Linked DNA regions of Xenopus tropicalis. The protein of the gene in region 1 interacts with the protein of each later gene in a pairwise test. Links are inferred from orthologs where the notes say so. Each region holds a gene or a part of one and is shown on either strand. Other genes may lie near its edges.

Region 1 (4,095 bases):
CCATGCACCTGATTATGCTCAGGGTCGGACTGGGCCACGGGGCATCTGGGAAAAAAAAAGGTGGACCCCCCAGCGGCCCAGACCAGATCCCTGTCGCCAATCCCCCAGCCGCCAGTGTCCCTCCCCTGACACGTTGAAAGTAAGTTTTGCACTCAGGGGAGGACATGGGGTGGGGGGTTAGGTGGGCACAGTGCAGGGTGTGTGGGACATGGCAAGGGCACCTTCAGGGGTGCAGGGCCCACTGGGGCTACTGCCTCAGTCTGACCCTGATTACGCACAGCGATGTGTAACTGATGTAATTATGGGTGGGTTTTAGGTCTTTTTTAACAGCGAAGGCAGGGGCGGGCCAAGCCGACCGGGCGCCCTAGGCAACCCGGTCGGCCAACTCCGCCCCCCCAACGACGCATGCGCGCCAAAGCACAGGAGGAGGTGCAGGGGGGGGCGGTGAGATTAGATCGGTCATTGCCTCCGCCGCTAATGACAAGCAGCGGAGGCAATGACAAAGTAGCACTAGGGGTAGGCAGAAGAGATGCCTGCCTGGCGCCCCCCAATCGTTGCGCCCTAGGCAGCTGCCTCTTCTGCCTACCCCTAGTTCCGGCCCTGAGCGAAGGTTAATATTAATTAAGTTGTGTATTATGGGAAGCATGGGGGGGGTGGATTCAAACAAAATAGGCAGAGTCCGAAAAAATGTGTGTTTGTGTACGTCTTTTTTCTACCTAACTTACTATGTAATAACAGTGGTCACCACAGTAACAGCCCAGTCTCACTCTAACCATAATTTGCACTGAAATTAGTGTTAACTCCAACTGAAAAAGGCCAAAAACCCATCCAAAATTACCTCAGATAAAGGCAGTTTTGGCCCAAACTGTGCGTGTAGTCAGGGCATATTGGAAGGTTAATTTTTATGAATTACAGGTGCAAACATTGCCTCAGGAGTAACTTCAGCAACATTTGCGTTCCTTAGACTAGTGAATGCCGCTTACTGATTGGTTGCTATGCGTTACTGCGAACGGAGCAAACTTGCAACCTGCTACTGCATTGCCCCTTGTTAGCTAATGAAACTCCACACCCCTGGCATACAAATTCTATTTATTTAGTGCACACTATGCCAATTTGCCCCGGGCTGCACATAAATACCCGAATAAGTAAAACCCACACTGTTCCAATGTTATGACTCCCTGTAAAAGCTAATCACGTCCACTGCTTTTTTTCGTTTTACACCGACCGAATGACTCCGCCACGGCGAGCTGCCAAGCACCAGCAAATCAACAGCAGCAATACACCTGCTGGCGCCCTCCCGCTCTCTCTGCCCAGCGGCGCACCTTGTCATTGGGCAACTCGGCCTGACGCAGGGCGTGTGACGGCTGCGCTTTCGGAACTGGTTTGTCCTGTGGGGCTTGCTGTAGGGAAATGGTGCTCAAGGCATAGAGAGGCTGGCAGCGCTTGGTCTCAGCAGGAAGAGACGCGCAGCACTGGAGGTCAGTACCCGGGGTGCTTCTGGCAGGTGTGTGGGGGAAGTGGGGTGCAGTGTGCGCAATGGGGGACCTGTCACAGCTGCGTTCGTCCATGTGCATGGCAGCGTTTGACAGCCCTCGGCGCCACAGCTGTTACATAAACTTCAACATCTACACATAGCAGCGCCGTGCAGGGCATACTGGGAGTTGTAGTTTAGAAACACGCAGAAGAAGGCTGCATATCCCTGGAGATAGCTGTGTGATTATAGGGTATCTGTGGCCGTGTGTCCGGCTGTCAGGCTTGTGTATGGCTGGCTAATGCCATAGTGAGTGTGACTGATGCGGGGGGGTGCCTGGGAGCTTCTGCAAGTGTAACATATCCATTTCTCTTCTCAAAGCAACAGGCCCAACACTATACTAACACCATTACTGTCTGCTATAGGGCTGGGCTGAAATGTGTTTGCCTTGGGCCCTCTGGTTCATAGGGGGCCCCTTAGGGGAAGACTGGAAATAGATGCAGTGTGTGGGTTGCTTTGGACACATGGCTGGATTTACTGCATTTGTTTGTATCCACATGTAAGTCCTTATTAAGGCCAAGTGGATTAAAGGAGAACTTAAGGCCAAGAAAAGATTTTAGCTGGAAATGCTCTGTTGAATATACTGAACTCACTGTACCTAGAGGTTTAACAATCCTATAATTGTAATGATCTAGGCCTTCAACGTTTTCTCCATCTTGGATTTTGTTAGGCCAGCTTTAAGTGTCAGTGGCATTGCACATGCTCAGTGTGCTCTGGGCTGCTGTTGAGAAGCTAAGCTTAGGGGTGAAACAGAAAATGAGGTTCCTCTGTCATAGAAGCTGATTCTTAAATTGAGGCAGAATGCATTGGTTTCTGATCTGCCGTGTAATTGGAGTCTGAATTAGCCTTGTATTGTGAAATTAATGTTTTATATATAGTATATTGTGAGTGGGTCCCTAAGCTCAGGTTATAGTGTGTCATTTATATTCTATATATACAGGATAGTGTGACATTTATAATCAATATATACAGGATAGTGTGACATTTATATTCTATATATACAGGATAGTGAGACATTTATATTCTATATATACAGGATAGTGGGACATTTATATTCTATATATACAGGATAGTGGGACATTTATATTCTATATATACAGGATAGTGGGACATTTATATTCTATATATACAGGATAGTGGGACATTTATATTCTATATATACAGGATAGTGTGACATTTATATTCTATATATACAGGATAGTGTGACATTTATATTCTATATATACAGGATAGTGTGCCATTTATATTCTATATATACAGGATAGTGGGACATTTATATTCTATATATACAGGATAGTGTGAGTGGGTCCCTAATCTCAGGCGATATTGTGGCATTTATATGCTATATACAGGATAGTGTGACATGTAAATGCTATATACAGTATAGTGACATGTATATTCTATATATACAGGATAGTGAGACATTTATATTCTATATATACAGTATATAGTGAGTGGGCCCCTAAGCTCAGGTAAGTGACAGCAGCACAGAGTATGGGCAGGGAATCAGCAGAAAAGAAGATTGGGGGCTATTATAGGTCAGGTGGATCTTGATTACACTGCCAGGGTCCTGGAACTGAATAAGATTAAGCTCCTCCCCCAATAAAAAAAAAAAGAATTGTCAGACCATATAGCCGGGCGCTTGGCTGGCCTTGAGGGCCAGATGAAAGAGCTTTCCAAACAATAATGTAACCTGCTGCTGTTGGAGAACACATTCCCCTGTGATTGCTCTGTAATGTTTTCCTTTTGCATAGTCACAGGGGAATTAGCTAGCGGGATCAGCTGGGGACTGGGCCATTATTCAATTACTGAGAATTTATGCTAAATCCTCGATGTCATGGCCTGTTATCATAGGTGGCTCCCAGGTTAGCACTGTCTGTAGAACTGGGGGTCCTGGGTTCACACTTTAAAAAGGGCCTGAAACGTGTTGTTACTATATAATAAAATGTGTTGTTTATCTTTTGAATTAGCTTTTAGTATGATATAGAGCGTGCTATTCTGAGACCATTTTCCATTGCTCTTCATTTTTTATTATTTGTGGGTTTGGAATTATTTAGCTTTTTGTTTAGAAACTCTCCAGTTTGGAATTTCAGCAGCTATCTGGTTGCTATACCAGATTATTATTACCCTAGCAACCAGGCAGTGGTTTCAATGAGAGACTAGAATATGAATAGAAGAGGGTTTAAATAGAAACATAAGTAATAAAAAATTACCGTAACAATAAAATTGTAGCCTCATATAGTAGTTTATGGGCTGCTAGGGACCCTATTTTAGGGTGAGGACACACGGAGCTACTAGTAGCAGCTACTTGTTGTGGCTACAGAAGCAGACAATTCTGATCATTTACAGATAACTGTCTGTGTGTTTTAGCAGAGGCAATTCTAAGTATTGTCTATGGCAGGGGATTTTCTGGCGTCAAGTAGTTGCTTCTAATAGAAGAAGATGGTCCAAATAATTCAAAACCTATAAAAATGAAAAGTTGCTAAGGATTGTCCATTCTATAACGTAATAAAAGTTAAACTTAAAGGTGAACCGCCCCTTTAATACTGGTCTATGATATATAT
Region 2 (4,229 bases), about 100 Mb from region 1:
CCTGTGTGTGTGCCATACTCTGCCTGCCCTATCCTGCCTGTGTGTATGGCACACACAGGCAGTATAGGGCAGGCAGAGTATGGCACACACAGGCAGGGTAGGGCAGGCAGAGTATGGCATACACAGGAAGGGTAGGGCAGGCAGAGTATGACACACACAGGCAGCGTAGGGCAGGCAGAGTATGGCACACACAGGCAGCAAGTGGGTGTGATTTAAAAAAGGGGAGCTTCCATTATCGGCCCTCCACCATATATGACGGAAAAATTCCAGCCCTTGGTACCACAGAAGTTGGACAGCACTGCATTAGTTGATACATTTCTCAGCAGTATCTGTGCAATGTTAGCAACTCTTAACTCAGAAATTATGCTCCGCAGGGCCAAATGTAAGAAATGTAATAACTAATGTATGAAATTAGAGTAGTGTATAGTGACCTCTTCCCAGAGGATTTTTAGAGAGATGAGAAGATGAAAAATTACACTTTGAACTTCAATATTAGAAAACCGGTCAAAAATAAAAAAAAATGGCAACTGAAAAGTTTTTATATCTGGTGTACTATCTGAAAACAAATAAACTGAAAAAAGTAGATACACTGTTTACTGGTCAAAAAGGACTTTTAGGGCAAAAAAACAAAAAAAAGTAAAAAGAAATTGATGTGTGTATCAAGGTAGGTTTAAAAGAAAGATTACTAAAGCAGTCTTCTTAGGCCCCTAACAAATAAATACATTTATTTACTAATGTTTTGGGGTCCTAAATTTAATTTACTGTGGGGCCCAGTAACATGTAGTTACACTACTGGGTTGGTGTCTCCTCTCATGGGGCTATACACTTAGAGCCATCCTTAAAGCATAGCAAAAAACGAGAGCTACATAGTGCCTATATATTAGATTTATAATTTAAAAAAAAATGCACCCAGTCTCTGCCCGCAGATTTCCTTAGGAAATCTGGTGATAGAGCTGGGGGCAGGTTTAGAGGTACAGGGTCAGGACACTGCGGAACTGATATCACGCGCAAGCTGCATGTGGGTGGAGGATGGGGCAGTGGAGGAGCTCAGACTGGGGTTGGGTGGCCCCCTGAGGTGGCAGCCCCAGTGAGCCCCAGACACATCAGTCTGACACTGTACACAGTTTTAAAAACTAACAAGATGCTTTACAAGGAACAAATATCAGAACTATCCCTGCAAATTAGGGGTTTGTGGTAAGTAAACTTGACATAAATTGAAAAATCAAGAGAATGAAGCAAAAAATGTATAAGGTTTCCCCAATACTGCAGGTTTATATGAAAATACATTGAATGTATTGAGCAGCATATTTGTATGCAGTACGCTGATCAAAGGTATAGTACCATAATAATAAAGCTATTTGAAAAAAAAAAAAGTGGTGCGCTTGTGGCTAAATCAGGCGTAGGCGGAGTTAAGGTCGGTGGTCACATGACGGCGGCAGGCAGCCCTTCTGTCGCCCCCTAGATTGCGCGCAGTCGCAATACAAGTCTGTTCCAACGGCCGCTGAGCGCTGCTGTCTGGCGAGAGTGTGGGGGGAATAAACTAACAACAAAAATAATAACAAAGTGACGCATCAAGAGTCCTCTTGCGCCATCATTACCACAGGCTGGGTCGAGCTGCTAAGGGAAAGAGAAGTCGGCCGTAAACAAGGAGGGGCGGCGAAGGAGCAGACAACAGGGAGGGGAACCGGGGTGTCTTTTTTTATCCAGTGACGCCCGTCCAGACCCCCGTTTTCTGGATGCTCAAGGAGAACGCTGCGCCACTGGAGCTTCCCAGTCTGCCTTTGTTATTAGCAGAGAGACGGGGCGGCGCGCTGGCAGCTCCTGTGTGGGCCCGGGAGGGCAGAGCAGCCCCTGAATCGCACCTCCATCCGCGGCCTCCTAGCTCACCCCGGAATTAAGAGAGGTCGGGACTAGGAGTAAGCAAGTGCGTGCCTCCGGCCTAGTCCCACCCATCTCCTATGTATACACACAGCTGTCATATATGTACAGGCAGCTGTCAAGTGCAAGCGGTGTCCATGAGCCGCCCCCCTCCTTCTCTTTCTCCCAAAGGGGAAATGTGCGCCCTATGCTGCCCCGTTTAAGGGGCAACTTCTTCAACTTCCCCACCCTTATGGATCATTTGTTGCCTTAAAGCCGGCATCTGCTCATTTGGAAGGCGGTGGAGTTTATCTGGCGGGGCGGGGGAGCATAAGTGGCACCCCCACTTGAAGGACCCAGTCTCCTTACCTGGCAGGCGCCTTTCTCCCCCACCTGGCATTGTGAGGATTAGGATAATCCGCCCCCAGCTCTACAAATGCCGAGGGAAGCCGTCATGCAGGCCCCACAGTTTCAGTACGACTTCTTCAGTGAGGAGAACTCCCCCAAATGGAAGGGTCTGCTGGTTGGTGCCCTGAAAAAGGTAAGAGGGGTTACAACATGGATGTTCAACCTGTGACAAACCAGTCTATTTCTGCAACACCCAGAGGCCACAGGCTGTTTTGTTACATGGAACCTTAAAAAACTCTGCCTATAAACTTTCCAATATAATTCAGCTACACATTTTCAATGGTTTTAATGTTATTTGTAAATGTAATTGCTATTGAAAAGTAAAACTCTGCTTGACCTTTTGTATACCAAGGCCTGTCTTTTTAAACAATGTAGCAGAAGGCAGCTAATTAACAGACCTCCAAATAATCATGCTTCTGCTACATAGTATCAAGAGATGGTACAAAAATACAGTTTTCAGTTGCAATTGCATGCACAAATACATTTAAAACCAATCATTTCATTTTAATGAATTGCATGTTGGTAAGTTTCTTAAAATTTTCATTCATTAGATAGCATTGTATTTGTGGGTTTTAAGTCCCCTTTTACATAAAAGTCAAATGACTACAGCTGTCCCCTGTCACTGGCCTTATTCACACTCCACACTAATTAAATGGATATGTATAATGGAACTTAGCTGGTCCAACTAGTCAGAAATGAAATCTCGGTCCTCTTTATGGCTGTGATATTTAGATGTCTGTTAAAACCAAGGCCAGATCTGATTTTAAGTACTGCAAGGGGCAAAAGTAGGTGTCAACTATGATCCTTTCCCACAGGTTCAAGGGTTTGTTCACTTTTTTTTCAGCACAGACATTTTCAGATGCAACAAGGCTTTTTTTTTTTTTTCAATTGCCTTCTATTTATTATTTCTAATGTATATTTTTCTAAAATTGAAGTTTAAACTTTAATGGTACTGTCTCTTGTGTTTGGCAGCTCAGCAATCCAGGTGCAGACCCTGAACTGTTACATTTTGCTACATTAGTTGATACATTTATCAGCAGCAGCTGTGGAATGTTAGCTGCTTTTAATAAAACTCCAGCATTATACTCAGCAGAGTCCAAGATAAGAAATGTAGTAACTGACATATCAAATTAGAACAGGTTACAGTGTCTGTGACTCCACCCTCTCCCAGAGCTGTTTTAAAGCAATATTAGAATACCAATCACAAATACAAATTAAAAAGCAATTGAATAAAATTATTGCTGGTGTCTGGAAGGTGAACAATGCCATAACGGTCACATTACTGTACATCTTATGAAAAACTTGTATAAAAAAAAATATACACCTAATTTTTATGTTGCTAGTGTAATACTCATTACAATAAAAGGTCTGCACATGCATGCAACCCAGACCAACAGAAAGTGATCCTTGGGAAAGTTTGGCAAAATGGCATTGCAATGCTCACTGGAATAGTACCTGGGCTGCCACGTTTTTCAGCCAAGAAGAGTTCTGGCTCAGGGTCTGAGGATATCAGTTAGAATCACTGGGGAGTGTACCCCTCAATGTTTAAATTTTAGACCTCCTCTAAGTGTTTTGAAAATGAAAAATTGAGTGAGTCATGTCAGACAGGTTTAGTAAAGGGAAACTTAGTAAATTATTATTTTTTTATGAATTTATATTTTTTTTTTCTCTGCAATGTAAACATATGTCTATTTTCTAAAATCACAGGTCCAAGCCCAACAACCAAATGTATATACATGTATTTGCTAGGTTCTTATTGTCATATTTAATCAGTCTTTTATTTCTGTTCAGCCATTCTTCTGTTTGTCTTCTATTCTGTCATTTAGGCCAATTCTTGACTTTTATGGATTTGGATCAATGATTCTAGCAATCTGGTGACAGACTAGTTTTAGCAGTTGAAATGACAGACTAGAGAGCTCCTGAACAAAAAATGTGAAATAGTAAAGAAAAAAAATTCAGATATT

Evidence for each region. The genes of interacting proteins can lie anywhere in the genome.
Region 2: the proteins of itsn2 (region 1) and sos1 interact in a two-hybrid assay, tested with the Homo sapiens proteins (2 studies listed by BioGRID and IntAct). The link is inferred for Xenopus tropicalis from reciprocal best matches to the Homo sapiens genes ITSN2 and SOS1.

Annotation. Positions count from the first base shown.
Region 1 is NC_030681.2:145,826,535-145,830,629, reverse strand, and holds the start of itsn2 (intersectin-2), read left to right. Parts: upstream 1-1,295; 5' UTR 1,296-1,478; intron 1,479-4,095.
Region 2 is NC_030681.2:42,909,061-42,913,289, forward strand, and holds the start of sos1 (son of sevenless homolog 1), read left to right. Parts: upstream 1-1,429; 5' UTR 1,430-2,293; coding exon 2,294-2,398; intron 2,399-4,229.